2 linked regions of the Oreochromis niloticus genome follow. The protein of the gene in region 2 binds, or shares a complex with, the protein of the main gene of each other region. Links are inferred from orthologs where the notes say so. Each region holds a gene or a part of one and is shown on either strand. Other genes may lie near its edges.

The links.
Region 1: the proteins of atp2a1 (region 2) and sln are in contact, whole or in part, in a crystal structure (PDB 3W5A), measured with the Oryctolagus cuniculus proteins. The link is inferred for Oreochromis niloticus from reciprocal best matches to the Homo sapiens genes ATP2A1 and SLN. Residues at the interface, in XP_069919846.1 of Oryctolagus cuniculus: Phe88, Val89, Leu96, Ala100, Ile103, Val104, Trp107, Arg110, Asn111, Asn114, Arg324, Lys328, Trp794, Leu797, Gly801, Leu802, Thr805, Ala806, Phe809, Trp932, Ser936, Leu939, Leu943, Leu946, Ile947, Val950, Pro952, Leu953, Ile956; in NP_001075856.1 of Oryctolagus cuniculus: Met1, Glu2, Arg3, Ser4, Thr5, Arg6, Glu7, Leu8, Leu10, Asn11, Phe12, Val14, Val15, Thr18, Val19, Leu21, Ile22, Trp23, Leu25, Val26, Tyr29.

Annotation. Positions count from the first base shown.
Region 1 is NC_031979.2:18,101,786-18,110,761, reverse strand, and holds the start of sln (sarcolipin), read right to left. Parts: upstream 3,550-8,976; 5' UTR 3,395-3,549; intron 1,126-3,394; 5' UTR 866-1,125; intron 462-865; 5' UTR 402-461; coding exon 306-401; 3' UTR 1-305. Other genes in the region: alkbh8 (alkylated DNA repair protein alkB homolog 8), read left to right, coding at 8,238-8,375. UniProt on the Homo sapiens protein: Reversibly inhibits the activity of ATP2A1/SERCA1 and ATP2A2/SERCA2 in sarcoplasmic reticulum by decreasing the apparent affinity of the ATPase for Ca(2+). Also inhibits the activity of ATP2A3/SERCA3.
Region 2 is NC_031969.2:13,944,339-13,953,123, reverse strand, and holds the start of atp2a1 (sarcoplasmic/endoplasmic reticulum calcium ATPase 1), read right to left. Parts: upstream 3,988-8,785; 5' UTR 3,827-3,987; intron 3,735-3,826; 5' UTR 3,716-3,734; coding exon 3,598-3,715; intron 2,612-3,597; coding exon 2,594-2,611; intron 2,144-2,593; coding exon 2,061-2,143; intron 1-2,060. UniProt on the Homo sapiens protein: Key regulator of striated muscle performance by acting as the major Ca(2+) ATPase responsible for the reuptake of cytosolic Ca(2+) into the sarcoplasmic reticulum.

The sequences.
Region 1 (8,976 bases), on a different chromosome or scaffold from region 2:
CAATTTCATTCTTATTTATTAACCCTGACCACTCTGCTGTGATTTCACATTCATGGCCTTATTCAAAAAACAAAACAAAAAACACTAAAAATACAGATTGTGAACTATTTTATCATTCATAGTTTGTCCCGGCTATAGTAACCACTTATTGTTGACCTCACATGAATAAGCAGAGCTGTAGGTGTAAACACTGTATTCACTTTAGCCAGCGGCCAAGTCTTCCGATAACCACGCCAGTTTCCCGACGCACGTGTCTCTCCATCCCCTCCGCCTCACGTCCGTGTCCTCTCTCATTGCTTAATTTTTTAGTCCTGGTAAGTTTTCACCAGCAGCCACATCAGCAGCACAGTGATTAAGACGATCATGAAGTTGAGGAACAGCTCCTGCACCGAGCGATCCATGGCAGCGTGCTGGATGGAGAGGATAGGTGAGACAGTCGAGGAGAGGTCGGTTGCTGTAAACTTTTAAGACAGAGGTAGGAAAAAGAAACTGTGTTTCAGTTGTTAGAGTGTAGACAAAAATGCAATACACAATGGTGCACATGCTCTGTGCTGGTTTATGCAGTCCCTCTTACAACAGGTTGGAGGGATCAGTGACTTCTCTGCTGGGTTACTGTTTACAGTCACCAAAGGTCAGCAAAGAAAAGGACAACAACATCCCCTCATATTAACATGGGACAGAAACACACACAAAGCATACACGCTAATACACTAATAAATCAGATTAAACATGTTCTATACATTTAGAAGTTGGGCTGTTTTGATAGTTTTGATATGTGCCATTAATAGCTTACATAAAACTGGCAAAACTGAGGCTTTACTGAGGACAATAACACAAAGCCAGACCCAGTCACAGTCGCTGTTACCTTGCTTGCTTGGCTGTGATCCCACTATGAACAGGATAAAGAGAAAGCAAATGTTATCGTCCGCTCCTTGCCTTGCCCTCCAAGAGAAGTGTTTCTTCTTCTTGGAAATGTCTCGATTGCAGCAGTTCTCCCCTGTAGCATCTGTTTCTTGCTGTTGTCCAGTTTTCTGCTGTTGCCAGGGGCAGGGCCTGCTCCTAAAGTAGCCAACCTCAGTGGACCGCCCATGGTTCACATACACACCGACTGATGTCACACACCAACTAAACAACCAATAGAGTGTGTTATTTTCCACAATCTCATCCACTGGAGTTTTCCTACCCATAACCATACAGAGTCTGTCTCTCTCGCTCTCACACACACACACAACAGAGGAGGGTCTCAGGGTTATTTATAACACATTATTGGAGATACTTGGTGGATTACAGTTGTTCCAAACACAATACTTGTATCATCCAATGGATATAGGAAACTAACAATATCGCTCAGTATCAGAGGAATTGTCCTCAGGAGCAGTCTCTTCAAAATGTAAAATACCAGGCATGCTTGTATTAAACCAACTGAAGCCTCTGTTAACCAGTTGCCTATCGAGTCCCTTCTCAACTTAAAAGCAAAGAATTTGTAATGGCCCAAAAGTATGATGATATCATCAGAATACACACTTACGTGGAATTTCAAATAGGTACTGATTACAGAGGGGTGTCAAGCACAGTGGCTTGCACCCTTCATTAAGTTGCTTATCCTTGATGGATGAAGATACAGAGGATACATAATGCTCTTAGTAGAATGCACACATGTGGGTGGGCAAAGCAAAAAAATTAAACCCCTTGATTATGCCTGGACCTAATCTGAATTTCTCATCTTTTCTACAGATTAAAGAAATTGTTACTCAGTGCTGATTAGTGGTTATTATCCTACTGTTACTTTTTGACAAAGCCAGGCAGGGCTGGATAGTAATGGGATGGATTGGTATTATATATCAATATAACAAAAATTAGCATAATACGTACATCTTTATACCCACCAGCCATAGTGGTAGCTACAACTGTTCAACTGCTTGTAAACATAAATATCGAATCAGTCAATCACAGGGCAGCAGCTTAACTTAGGCTAGCAAACATAGTCAGACAACTGCTGAAGTTCAAACTGAGCATCAGAAAGGGCAAGAAAGGTGATTTAAGTGAGTTAGAATGTGTCATGGTTGTTGGTGCCAGGCTGACTGGTCAGAGCATTTCAGAAACTGCTGATCTACTGGGATTTTGCCACACAAACATCTCTGGGGTTTACAGAAAACGGTCTAGAAAAGGCAAGCTATCTAGTTCTCTTTCATGTCAGAGGTCAGATGAGAATGGGAAGACTGTTTAAAGCTGATGGGAAGGCAACAGCAACTCAAACAACCACTCGTTACAGCCACAGTCTGCAAAAGAGCAGCTTTGAACAAGCAACATGATGAATCTTGAGGCAGCTGGGCTCCAGCAGCGGTAGACCACACCATGTGCCACTACTGTCATCTAAGAACAGAAAACCGAGGACACAATACAAACAGGTTCACTAACACTGGACAACAGACGTTTGGAAAAGTGTTGCCTGGTCTGAAGAGTCTTGATTCCTCCTGCGACATTCAGATAGTAGGTGCAGAATATGGTATAAACATCTTAAAAGCTTGGATCCATCCTGTCTAGTGGTGGTGGTGTAATGGTGTGGGGGATATTTCCTTGGCACACTTTGGTCCCCTTAGTACCAACTGATCATTGCTTAAATACCGCAGCCTAGTTGAGTGGTGCTGACCATGTTCATCCTTTTATGGCCACAGTGTTCCCATCTTCTGATGACTGCTTCCAGCAGGATAAAACACCAAGCCACGAAGCTCAAATCATCGCGAATTGGTTTCTTGAACATTGAGTTCACTGTACCCAATGGCCTCCACAGTCACCAGATCTCAGTCCGAGAGTGCACCTTTGGGGTGTATTAGAACAGGTAGATTTCCATCATGGATGCACAGCTGACAAATCTGCAGCAACTGTCTGATGCTATCATAACATTATGGATTAAAATATCTGAGGAATGTTTCGAGTACCGCGTTGAGTCTATGCCAAGAAGAATTAAGGCAGCTCTGAAGATAAACCAAAACTGTACTAGCAAGGTGTACGTCATTAAGAAGCTGGTGAGTGCATATAGCCAGTGAATAATTAATTATATAAAAATATATGTACTAAAGTATTCTCTGTGTAAGATATTATCTGATTTTTAGCTTGCTTAGTGTAGTATTTTCCGTTATTGCTAATGCTAAGTTAAGCTAACTGCTTGCTTGGCTTGGCTGATAACTGTTTGCTGCAGCTTTAGAATTTACTTGGAGCCATTAAAGCAGTATCAAGTATCTCATCTGTCTCAAAATATCATCCACAGCTTTCCTTTAATAGAAACTAAATTGAGAATAGGTTATCGTTCTTTTGTGGATTCCCGATATTCTGTATTATGCTGGTGCTAAGAGAAGGATTTTGACATTTCATCAAAGCAAACATCTCAACTCACCTCACACTTGACAGCTGCTAAAAACGGTGTTATCTCTGACCTAGTGTTAAACCCCCTTGACAAACACACTTTCTCCTGCACACACAGAGGGGCCACAGAAGGACAAAGTCCGAGCACAGATCACTTGAACCTTTCCATCGCAGGATTCCAAGGCCATTCCCTGAGGATTAAACAGATCAAACCGGTTGAATTTTATCACCCTGCTGCTCTGCCAGCCTCAGACCAAGAGCTATTTCACCCAGGGATTCCCATTGTCACAGAGATCCAATTCTGGGGTGATTGAATAACACAGCGTGAATTGTGCTGGCATCTCTGTGCGGGGTGGACTATGGCCCACTGTGACAGCTGTGTGTGCATTTAAGATAGAAAAGTGCTGGGAGAGTTGCCCTCTAAATCTGAGGAGAGACAGAGGGGTGTCAACAAGGCCTCAGAAACACCATTCCACAGATTCTGGGACGCTAGATGTATGTGTGTGTGTGTATACACATCCATTTATTGAATGCAATATCACTATGTTTATTCTGATGTGTAAGTTAATGTGGTGGTGACAGTTTCCAACTGTGAACATTATGGAAATTAAATAATAGCAGTAATGTGTCGGAATCAGAGCAACACATCTAAAATATAAGATATGCTTTATTTATTCCAGCTCTAGGGAAAATTCTCTTGTCATGGCAGTTACTACTACTACTAATAAAAATATTACAGTAATACACAAAAATCATTGTCTGTATGTGTTTTTGTTCGTTTGTTTGTCCACAAACTCCTCCTAGACCATCAGGTATCTATTCAATGCCTGAAGGTTCTTATCTATATAGGATAATGTGGAGTCATCATGTTGCCTAGCAACCAGAGCAACAAGCTAAAATTACTCCTTTTTATAATTTATAAACTATAAGACTGACCACATTGTATGATTTTTATTTCATGACAAGAACATCTTATTTATAACCACGCACACTGAATTATGCCTAATATATTCTGATGCCACCATATTGCTTAGCAACCACCTAGCAATAGGCTAATATGACCTGGTTTTAGTTTTAACACCTTATGAACTCTATCGTTTTAATCTATTGACAGTAGCATATAATTTATATCCACAAAGGCTGAATTACACATGTCTGGCAGCCACCTAGCACCAGACTAAAATGACCTAATTTTAGCATGTAAACAACCAACCCAATATCATGGCAAAGCATGAAATGCAGAAACTGCAGTACATCCAGAAATTGCAATATCTGGAGGGGGAAATAGTGTGTTTAAAGCCAAGAAGTCCGAGTAACCAAGTACATTCCCGGGTCCTTCTATCCTACAACAATTAAGCTAGGTGGCTAATTTGTACTTACATGTAAATGTGTAAGTAATGTCTCTTTAAATGCTTTCCTGTGATTATTTTTATGCTGGCTTGAAATAAAATCTCCCTTTGGTGGTACTGCATCTTACTGCAACTTACTGCAACCTGTAACTTCGGCATGCTTGTCTATTGCACTCTTGGTGTTAGTATAGTATAACAGGCTGCATTGTAACAAGTGGGAAGAGGAACCCATATTATATGGCAACTTTATTTTATAACATAAGAAAACAATTCTTTAACTAGCTACTAACTAGCTATGCTATGCTATGGTAAACTAAGCTAATATTATCTCCTCAATGGCGTTTGTGTTAGAGCAGACAGCATATGTCTGAGCATGGTATGAGTCTTACCAAAATACAGCAAATCTAATTTCAAATTAGAATCCAGTGTTTAGATTATAACAAATTACCTTAGAATTCATGTCTCTGAATTAAACCTGATAGAAGTTGAATATTTTTGCATTCCCCAAAAAATGGTGGAACATATGTTTATTCTATTTTATATATTCGTTTAGCCCTAAAAGGTGCATTTCATTCCAGTGCCAGTAAAAACATTAATTGGCTTTCTTGGCCTTAGGTTGTGGAAGATATCATGTCACAAGTTCCCTATATTCATTAAATACTGTGGGTTAGTCTGAACATTGGTCTATAAATAGCTGGCACTGGAAAATTATTTAGCTCACAACTTTGCTCATTTGTAGTGGCCAGATCTTTGCCATAGCAATTATCAGAGGATAGGACTTCATCCCAGCTGACTGCTATTCTGGCAGAGAGATTATACACAGATCAGATGGATCTCCAAACACACTTCTCAGACCTCTAAATATTTTGACCGGTTAAAATATTTCAACATAAAATCTGATGCTTTAGCTTCTATTTCTGCCCATCCTTACCCCTCCCTGTTAGTCCTTGAATAGGCTAATCTTTTGTCTTCTGCAGGAATGGTAATATTTTGTGTTGATGATTTGTCATTATTACTAATTTCATGCTTCTCTTTCTCCGTATGCATGAAAAGACATAACCACCATTGGCAGATGTTGAATATTTTTGATAGACTGCAGTTTTTATAACTCACCTTTCTCAAACCACCAACCATCTGCTCACACGTCTCCAGAGAGAGGCAGACATCAGAGTCACTATTTTAAAAGGCAGCATCTGGTTTCTTCATCCTGTGGTCCCAGCTAATTACAATACAAAGATGCCAGCAGCAGGAGTTTGGCAAATAGCTACCGGTCTTGCATTTCAAAGGTTGATGGCATGCCTCAGGGTACAGAAGTGATTCCACTTGTGTTCTCACCATTACATTGCTTTTGAGAGTTTGGCTGGTGCTGAAGGTGAAGCTGCCCTTGAACAATGGCACGAGGAATACCTGAATTACTGTGCAGCTTCAAGCATTTCCACTTGGTGCAATGTTAATGCTAACTTCTTCACCTTAGTATTTAAGACGTTTGTGTATGGCCAACCAAATGAGAAATGTAATGTTAAAATGATATCTGCGTTTTCAGGTCCAAATTTTATTTTTGACTCTGGGAACTGGAGTTGACAAAGGATAGGATTCTGTCACTGAGTCATTATTGGATCATTCATTAGCTTCTAAATTGGGCTTTTAGCATGGGATGTTTGCTTTCTGTTCCAAAAATGAAACTCAAACCTTGGGTTTTAAGCCAGTGGAGACTTGGAAGACACTGAAGGCCCTGAAAGTGGTTTAGAAATTCTTCCCATCTCCAAGTAAACAAAACTGATCCATGTGTTATAAAAACTCTGTGCAACATTACTAGAGGTTAAAGCTTTAATTCTTACTGATATTGCACCTGATATCACCCCCAACAGTGATAAATGGGTTTAATTTATTTGAGTACTTAAAAAAAGAGCAGAATGTTGTTATCATGTTGGGAGAGGGCAGCCACATGCTCTCCTGCCTGACCAGCTGTTGTTTTGTAGGATAAACAGAGTGTGCCGTTGAGACGACCGAGGGCTCGCACTGGCCAGCAGTGTAATTACGGAGATGGCAGAAGACAGGTGAAGGCCTCATTACACAACACGCCCGAGTATAAATGCAAAGGGACACAGCAAAGCACTGAGGCGCACGCACAAATGTTTCAGAACACAGAGAGACACGCGTGCTGGAACACGCACTCATGTTCAGAGGGGCTGCAGAGTCATTCATCTGACAGAAGAGGAATTTGGATGCAGGATCTGAGATAATTGGCCCCTCTGAGAGAGAAATCAGACAGGGAAGAGTGGCCAGGGCAGGCACTGCATCAAAGACAAAATGATGGGCAGAATACATCAATCACAAGTCAATACCCATGCTAGAATATGAGTGAATGCTCGTGTCTGATCAGAATATGTCCAGCTGTGTTGTGTATGGTGCTTTGTTGAAAATGACAAATATGAAGGATACCAACTGTCGGTGTCAGATACCAATATTTAAGCTGAATCTGATGATAGACAAATGAAATGACTGAAAATGGAAAGGTAGAGTCCAACACTCGATATTTAATCCCCCACTGTATCAAGTTGGATATCAAGTGGATTTGACATTACAGTTTATATAATGCCTGCAAAACGGAGCCAAAGGACAGAACAGAAGCTTTGACATGAGAAGAGAACTGAAAAGAAACACTTAAGACTAATAGAACAAGTTTAACAATGTTGCACTGATTGCTCTCAAAGACATCAAAGGGAAAATGCGTGTAATGCAAAATGCAACCTCAAGGAAAAGAAAAGTCACATGGTCACAGTCACAGGTTCTTTTTTGAATCTGCATCTTTATTCCAGACTGTTGGATCAGGGGTCATCAAGAGCATCATAGCTCCACCTGTGCTTTGTTCTATACTGTACTCTTATGCCTGCATGGTTTAGGGTGGACAAAATTCTTTCAGATGCTGGAAAAATGACAGGCAAAGTCCAGATGCACATTTTAAAAAATGCGCGGATGCTAATCAAGAAAAACACTGTGGAAAAGCGAGGCACTCTGAGTCATCCATCTGGAATAGAAGAATGAGTGTCTCACTGATGTTCATATGATCAGATTTATATATTATGTGCACTCAGTGGTATGCACTTCCCTTTCATCTTTAGAACAGCCTTCCCAGAACATCAGTGGTTTCTGAAACACTCAGACCAGTCCATCTGCCACCAAAAACCATGCCACGTTCAAAGTCACATAAATCACATTTTTTGCCATTCTAATCCTCAGGTCGTCCTAATGACGTCCACGTCAATGCACTCAGTTGCTGCCATGTGATTGGCTGAGTAAGACAAGATGATATTAAGTTAGCAGGTGTAGCTAACAAAGTTCCGAGAAGTGCATATATATTTTTTATTCACATGTAATAATTTCATTTTATTCTTAACAAATCAGAATTATGTAAGATAAACACTTTAGTTATATTCTAAAAAATGTCTCCTCCTGGAGACGTAATCTTTGGGAACCGACGTCTTTCAGTCCCCGTTGCACCCGGACGGATTAAAACAACGTACCATGGATGCTAGGGAGGAAAACAACGTGAAGGCCGTCAGGAGAAGTAAAGAAGAGAAAAAACTTCTCAGAAAACAAATTAAAGCCAGTCACACATTACTGAAGCATGAAGGCATCCATACGGCCCCGCAGCCTACCAGGGTAAAGAAAAATAACGTTTATTTGACGGGAAATGGTTCGCTGTTTCATTATTTTTCATTTTTTTCGCTTGTTTTTTTAACATTAAAATGATATTAAAAGTTATCTGCATATCTAATATTTAATTGTTCTATTCATATTTTTTTTATATATATATTTATTATTATTGTTGTTATTATTATTGCTAAATTAACAAGAAAATCAGCCGCTGTTTATGGAAAATATTTTTAATATTTTACTCGTTATAAGAGACTTTTCATTTGCTCCTTTTTAATGGGATTCATTTTTGTGTTCCTGCAGCAGTCTGAGACAGTTTTAAGAACTATTTCTATTTATCTCAAAGGATTTCACGCTGTTATTTCTGCAGACAAATACAAATACGAGTTCATAAAAATTGGGCTCATTGCAAAAGGGAACAATCTACTTTATACTACAGAGAAATATCAACATTTTAAGCCAGTAAAAGCATCACAACAAAAACACAAACCACTTCAGTTGTTTGCTTGTTTTTTCATGAGAGTATGTGTTGTAGGTTGATTGATTGTTAAGCAATCTAACAATCCTTGGGAAAAGGCCATTTTGCCCTTTTTTCTGGCATCTTAAC
Region 2 (8,785 bases):
CTGTTGTGCTGTATGATATTCTATGTATGAAATCCTCCCCATGTGACTTTTTTCTAAACCAATATTCGTGCACGTGTGCGCCCCTGTGAGCAGGAGCTACACGTTACTGATGCTGGTGTGTTTCGGAAAGGCCTCGTGTTGACACTGACACAGATTAGTTGCAGGCCACCGGAGCATGGACCCAAGTGGAGAGAAAAGAGTAAAGTCCTCCCATCCTTCCTTTATAGCATTTAGCATTTAGCTCAGCATCACAGTCTTCCTTGTTTTCCATTCGCCTGCTTTTCATCTCACATCTTTTCTCACCCCTTTTTAAAAAAAAATAGGCTTGATTGCTTGCTCTCTCCAGTCTGTCTTCACTGTGCTTCTCTTCAAAGACACAATCGATCTCCAGACTGAGCGTCAGGGCCTGTCAACACCTTGCAGTGGTCGAGCATTCCTGTGTGTATGAATAGGATGACCATGTATTTGCAGTATTTAGTGTTCTCTCTTTTAGAAACCATATATGACTCTGAATCTATTGCGCTCATTTGTCATTGTAACAGACAATGCCATTGTGCAACCCAATCCCCAGCCCCCCCCGCCCTCTTCGCTGTCTCTCACTCTCTCCTGCTGCTGCAAGCAATCCCTCGTTCCTTCCATCCCTGACCTTTGTCTAAGGATATAGTTTCTCGTCCTGGCTTGAGACTTTCTTAAAATAAAGGTCCTGCCATGCACATGCACTGCCACTCTCTTTTCGTCTTTCTCTTGTTCTCTCGCTATTTCACACGCAGCACGTCAGGCCTTCTAAGGCTATAGTGACAGCTGTAGAGGGAGCCCTGAGGGGAGCAATCGAAGATTAAAACAATGTGAAGAACCTAGTCGCCTTCATAAAACTGCACTGGCGAGAGCAACAAGGAGGGGAGAGGGATTCCTGGTGTCAATGAGAGTGGCACTAAAGGTAATCTAATAACGTGATGATGTGCATGATGTTTTGTCAGCTGAAGTGTGTGTCTGTGTTTGGTAAAGAGTCAAAAGAGATGCAGCTCCAGATCCCAGACAAGCCCCCAATTATGTAAGAACAAGGTTGATAAACCGTAACATAAAATCAAGACTTAAAAGGCAACAAATTGGGGGTGTTTAACTTCAGTTGCCACATATTCTGAAGTTTAAATCAGAGGTAGAGTCTAAAAATCATCTACATGAGCAGGGTTAGCTCTAGCTTCAAACCCCCCCCCCCACCCCCCGTTAACATCTTGATATAACTCTGTGATACATTCAGCCCTGGTAATCGAGAGAAAATGTACCTTAAGCATTGCTACAGTGCTAAACTATGTTTCTCACAGTTTAAAGGAAATATGCCCACAAATCTGGCAGAGTTCAAGAATGTTTCAGGCCTTCTCAGGTGTGAGCACCAAACTGAGACCCTTGCACTTTTACTGTACGGCTTCTGGGAACTGCAGACCGGTGAAACACAACTCACCACTGACAACTGCTGCTGCAGGACAACGAATGTAAATTGCTAACTAGACTTTCTAACTGCTCAACCTCAGCTTAATCCTAAATAACCCATCAAACGTGTGATCTGAAAGATATCTAAAAGTTGATTTTCTTGGAGAAAATGTTCATATTTGAGGTAAATTGGAAAGTTATGCAAAAGAGTGAAAAGAAAAGTAATTAGACACATGATGTCTGAAATACAGGAAGAGATTAGAGAATCTACTACATGTGGTGTCCATCACTGAAATAGCAAACACAACTTTTACATGCACTGCTGAGAAAATGTCCTTTTCCTTCATTCATTGTGGTGGCTAGTCTTCCTCTGCTTGAAACATTATGTTATTTTCTGCTTTTTCCATTTACTTTTGAATGGATCTGGTGATAGTAAATGTAAGACAGGGATGGAAGGGGCACCTCTACACAAATAGAAAAATATATATTTTCACTACAAGATGATGAAGAATGAAGAAGAAATTTTTGAACGTGAGCAAGCTCTGTGCATTGAACACTTCATGAATATTACATAAGTAGGTGCTTTGCATTGGATAAATGGATGGTCGAATGCTTTGCATCATGAAACTCACAAAAGAGATGCAGGCTGCCAGTAGAAGGATTCTGACCAACAGGTCCTCAAACTGCTCCACCACCAACTCCCAGATACTTTTGCCTGATAAACACATTCAAATAAATAGACATAGCCCATCTATTAAATCAAATTCAATGTTGATACAGTGTTAAGAATTCCTGTGATTATACATGTAAGACTGATGAACAAACCGGGTTAAATGGAAAAGGCAGTGACTGTGATTTAGGTGAAAACACATATTTGATTAATGATGATTGTTTGTTTTAATATCCTCCCACCACTTTGGGCTGCTCCAAAACCAGCAGCAAAGACTGTTGCTGCTTTAGTTTGAGTTCAATGCACAACCGATGTGGACACAATCCATTAGTTTCTCGAGCAGTGTGTGGTGTAGATACATCATTACCATACTGGAGTCAGTAACAAGTGGTAAACACACACGCAAGGGAGCAGTCATGACAGGAAGTGAGAGGAACAGCTGTACAGGGATGTTAAAGGAAGCTTGCAGGTGTGTAATGTTTCGGGTTGGCTCACCTTCCTCTGCTGGCAGCTCTGTTGGTGATGAGAGACAGAGAACATTAGTAAAGCACACCACTTACTACATTCGTTCTGATATTTGCAGAGTGAAACATGCAGCCAGGTCAATCGATTTGACCGTAAAACCATCGAGTACAAAATACACAGTATAAAGGAAGCATTACATTGCACAATTTACACTTTCTTCACCAAACTGAGGCCCTGCTCCAATAAACAGTAACACTTTACTCCAAATTGCATTCTCAAAAAACATGATTCCTCTTCATTTTACTGAATTAAGGACTTTTTTTCCCAGTGAATTAAATGTGAAGCAGAGGTAGGAATATTCATGATTTTCCAGTTCCGGTTATTTGAACCCTTAAGCCAAGCAGTAATGTGGGTACATTTACATTCATGCCTACGCTTTCCCTGCTGTGATAAGCAAGAAAAAAAGAGGCCTCTGATGCTTTCTTTATAAAGCTCAATGAGACTGCAACTCAGCAAACTCCATCTGCCGAGACAAAAGTAAATATGTTGACCTTGAGTCAACATATTTGACTGTCGTGCGCTCAGTTTCAAAATACAAATAAATTACCCCCAATCTAAACTAAAACCAGTAGCAGTTGTCAGGAACTTGACACCCTGAGGCACCTGCTCCACAAACATAACTCCTGCTTTGTGTCAGTCGGATAGTTTCCCTTAATTAGACCAGCATCACAAAGTCACACACGGCTTTGAAACCGACACTGCCGCTACTTGTCCTCCTTCACCTTCCCCTCCCATTTCCCTCAGTGTCTCTGCTCCTGCCATTTTATCTTGTTAACCTCCGAGGCACCCCGTACATATGCCGCCTCTCATTCAAGCTAAATCTGATGCATGTACTCCTTCTCCTGGACCTCCCCATCATGTCATTCACCATCATTTTCTACTGCTCTTTCTTTCCACTCTGCATCAAAAGCTTCATCTAAGTGCTCCATCCATGCATCCATCAGGCCATCCATCCATCTTTTTGTTTCCCTCACCATTGTAGCCATACTTTTCCAGGCACTTCTTAACCTGCTCAGGTGACAGGCCGGTGTCTTCAGTGACGCCAAAGTAGGCCAGAACGTCTTCCGACTCTTTGGTGTGTGCGTTCTCCATCCTTACTTAAACGGAGAGGCTTCGAGACAAAAGGGATAGAAAAAAAATGGAGAGAAATTACAGCTGGCCAAACACTGAAACGTAAAACAAATGATGCGGCATTCTACCCACCACTTTCTTGAAGAGTGGGATTAGGATTAAAAACTGGCAACTCCCTGTGCGTTCACACTTGCTCTCACTTTGCCCCCTCTCTCTCTCTCTCTCTCTCTCTCTGGGCTGTTGCTCTCCTCTCGGAGCCCTGGACCGACAGAAAGTGCAACCCTGCAAACTGTCCTGAAAAGTTTTATAGCGATGAAAAAGTTGCCCCATTGGTGCTTGTCCACCATGCACCCCCCTCTCATTGGATGAGAACGTCACAAATAGGTGGGCAGGGATGGCCCCCGTGGTAAAGAATAGGCAGGGGGAGGGAGGGGGAGAGGTGGAGGGGGTAGAGGGCAGCAACTGCAGAGGGGTCCCAGCATGCTGGAAATAAGATGTGCATAAGAGAACATGCATGGTTAGCATGGAGAGGCAACATAAAGACTGTCTGAATGGACACTGGTGGGCACGTGTGTGTCCACATGTCTGTAGACACACGTGGACAAAGAAACGTAAAAGACACTGAGAGATGTCGACTTTTCAGGCATATTTCGAGTACCTGATTTTTAAGCAGTTCCCAACCTTCAGATTTGGACTGCTTGGAGGCCCCTTGACTTGTTTCATGTGTTTTGAAAATTTTCATCTTCTTAAACTTCTCAGATGAGAAATTATTAAGTGGAGGACATGAGACTGAAAACCAAAATTGAATGGTCATGCATCCCACCCTTCAAATAAACCCCACATCAGTGTGATGTGTGATCCAGGCACATGTACGTCTTCTACCAGCACAAGATCACCTAAAGCATCCAAATATCCAGTGGTTTGATGAATCAGAATCTTAGGTTGCTGATGGATATTTCAAAGTTCATGTTCTGTGTTAATACTGAGGTGCACCTGTTGATACATTTCATTAAATATTTCATCAATTGTGGCTTTTCAATATGCCTGCTCTGCACTATTTTCAATTAAATATAAGTTTTTATACAGTTTGGTAATCAATATATTTTTTATCACCATTTTACACTGCCAACTTTTTTTTAAACTGGGCTGGATAATAAAGTTAAACCATGTGTTTATGGAGAGTGTCACCTTTTCTTTTGCTTTTACCTCTGTAAGGTGATCTAGGTGTGATTGAAGTGAAGACTTTCAACTTTAATTCAAGGGTTTTAACAAAATAAAACATTTACTGAGGAGTCATGGCCACTTTGGTACACAGTACACAGTATACTATTATCAAAGGCTCAAAGGAAACTCCGCAAAGTAATATAGTTTTAAATATAAGGTCATCTAAAATATCTTAGTGCTTATTCCACTGGACCTGTTTACTATCAAGTTATCCATATATCAAAAGAAGATATATGGATAACTTTTCTGATAATAAGTATTATTAATTGGTAATACACACACACACACACACACACACACACACACACACACATATATTTTCTTTTTTTGCATAGTACTGTTGTTACAGTGCCAAAATGCATGAACGATCATTAAATAGTAAATTACATGCTTCATTAATTAATTAAAATTGGAAATGAATAAATATTTATTAAAACACAAAATTAAAATAACATTTTAATGAATTAAAATGTTTTACATGAAATGAACTGATATTTTATTAATTGTGTATATATTTAACTATTTTTTCCAATTGTAATTAACTGATGATACATTTAATTAATTATTTAATCATATGTTTATTTCATTTTGCCAGTTGTGACTCTTTGTAGATTATAGATTATACTGCTTCTATTTATTCTATTTAACTCTATTAATTTTTCTGTTGTAATAATATGAATTTTAAAAATGTGGGACTAATAAAGGTTATCTTGTCTTGAGCAGTTATGACAACTCACGTGCAGCAATTTGAAGAAACACTCCTTGAATGCAGTGGAGATTAATACTTTTTCAATAAAACAAATGTACTTGTGGACTGACTCAGAAAGCAGATGAATGACTTTTATAGTTTTATGATGAATTTCCATCCATCCATCCATCCATCCATCCATCCATCCATCAATCCATCCAAGTGCTTTTCCAATTCAGAGTTGCAGGGGGTGCTGGAGCCTATCCCAGCTGTTATAGGGCGAGAGCTGGGATACACCCTAGGCAGCACGGCAGTCTATTACAGGTGACTCCTCTTTGTATTTTTAAACCTATTGTAATGTTTCACTATGTATCACCCCATTCTCCACCTTCCCTCTTGTCATGTTACAGCACTCCGAACCTCAGAGCACAACACAGGGGCTTGCAAGTTTTTGGTTTGTGTGTGAGGTCAGAAATTGTCATTCTAGGGGGGGCAGGTGCCATATTTGAGTCCAGTACTCAGTTCTTATAATACATCCACGGTCCCAACTGGTCTGGTCTCGGTTACCTTGTCGTCACATATATCACATGACAAAGCAACAGGTGTGAAAATGCATGTGCATGCCCATGCTGAAAACATAATGCACGGCCAAGTGTAAACAGACGGGAACCCTGCTGGGACCTGTTATCAGCTGCAAATTGACTTACAAGTCTTTAAAACCAGCAACGGCAAAAAAAGGTTATGGCAATTAGAGGCTGCAGAAATAACCTGTTAACACACCGCGGGCTTCATGTTTCTTTTTAGGCCGATACGACCAGGCTTTTATCAAAAAGGTTGCTTCTGTGTTTCAAGACACCTGATATGGTAGAAAATTCCCTACATACTGTACTATTACATATTATTACACCACCTGCACATGAGTAATAATCACTTCATGAATGTCAGACTGAAAGATGCTCTGTGTTTGTCTCAACCACCTGTAAAGGGAACGTTTTTTCTCTTTCTTTGATAAATATGAAGATTTGGCCCTATTTACGGCCTTTTGTTTGCATAAAGTAAAAGAACTACCAAACACAAACAAACACAGTCGGGATACATCAGTGTATAAGCTATGGTTCAATGTGCTATGAATCCCGTTTGTCCGTTATGGTCTCCCACACTGGCTGTATTCGCACCTCTGTAAGAAAGAGCACTCCATGTTCTAAGAAAGATTTGTCCTCTGGTTCTCAGGCTGAAGGTCATTAACAACTATATCCATACAAATGCTTAAATAAACGCACACTAGATTCAGATTAGCTTTTATTCACAGTGCATTATTTATGTATTTATTATTTATTAGTGCTGTGCAGCACTTTGGTTAATGTCTGCAGTGTTTAAATGTGCTATAGAAATAAAGTGACTGGACCAAATTTGATCTATTTGGGCTTTTTGAAGTTTTTAGGGGAGAATAACTGACCGATGCTTCTGAAAATGAAAGTGTACAGTTAAGTTGAACAGCTACAGCTCAACAATAAGATGAATGGTCATTTTTCTATTTTAAAGTCCAACATTCATAACTATGAAAATCCAAGAACTAAATAAAAATATCATTTAGGTTTAAGTTTACAGATCATACTTTCATCTGAGTAGCAAAATGAGATGTTTTTGACACGTGCAGAGGAGGGAGAGTGGACATGCTGGATAAGAGATGCTGAACATGGAGCTGCCAAGCAGGAGGAAAAGAGGAAGATCACAGAGAAGATACACAGATGTAGTGAAGGAGGACGCGCAGAGGGTTGGTGTGCCTGAGGAGGATGCTAGGGATAGGGTGAGCTGGAGGCAGTGACGCGACCCTTAAAGGAAGCAGCCAGAAGAAGAAGCAGAAGACATTCAGCGGACTGTAATGAAATTACATGCTTGTAATTTATATGGTCAGAAATGAAGGATTCACACATTAATGCTGTTTAAAACCCTCTTATAAAATGTTTCACAGGTTTAAAAAAACATGTAGATACTTGTTGTTATATAATAACATCTTCTTAGTCTTAAGATAACAAAGGTCATTTTTGTGAACTCAGATGTGGCCACCCACTCTCATAAGTCATACTTATACAATACTCCCCTACTTCCTCTTAACTCTTATCTCTCTAATCTTTACCATCTTTTTTCTTTTTCTAACCCTACATTTACATTCAGTCTTGCTTCTGTCTATCTCCGTCTCCCCTGCAGGCTGCGGTCTGTGTTGGAAACCCTCCTTTGTGTGCTTCACTTGTAACCCTCGATGCTGTCGTGGGCCCGGCTGTAGCAGTGCAAAGCTCAAGGTGGCTCACTGACATTTAGCTCAATCTCCCCCAGGGATCAGATTACTGCGCCTCGATCTAAACACTGTGCTCTAATACTAATAAAACACAGCAGTGATAATGCTGCACCGCCTGCGGAGAGGCACACACACGCTCTTGTGTGATCTTGAACAATGAGAATGGGATTTCTAGAAGACACTTTTAAGATCATTACGTGGAAAGAATGATTAGGCGTGTATCATGCGTGTAAAATCATTTGAGCCGGCTGTGTTTGTGATGAGATTTTAATTAGAAAGAACACTTTTACTGCAGAGACAGATTACGCAATTTGTCGAGCTATTTTTGGATAACGACTCAACTTGATTACACAAGCGCAGCTCAGTGGTGTAAATGTAAAATACAAGCTTTTCTTCCTATTATTCTTTTTAAATATAAATAATCTGCATTTTCTTTCCAGCGCTGAACAATAAGATTTACTTTGGTTGACTTCACACTTTCAAGGTGCAAGCACTCACGGGGTTCAGTGTCACGACTGTTGACTTAAGGAAATTTAAGTCCCGCAGCATCACGGACAAACAGGAGGGGCACAGTTCTTCTAAAACAGGATGTCCTTCACTGTCGACCCCTCGGTGCTCCATAGTCTTAAAAATCTCACCCCGAGACCTCTGCTGTTATCACATTTAGCTAAAACAACATTTTAAATATGAAGGTAGTCAAAATGTAAGAGTATAATGATAAAATGCACATTATATTAATTTAGTAAAAGTCTGCAAATCATGTTACGAGTATCTGTGATAAAGAAATATAATCAAATCCTCATGTTTGATGCGTTAGACGCAGCATATTTGATTCGAGTGCTGTACACCCTGGTGCTAAAGTCATTGTTCAGTGATTCGCAGT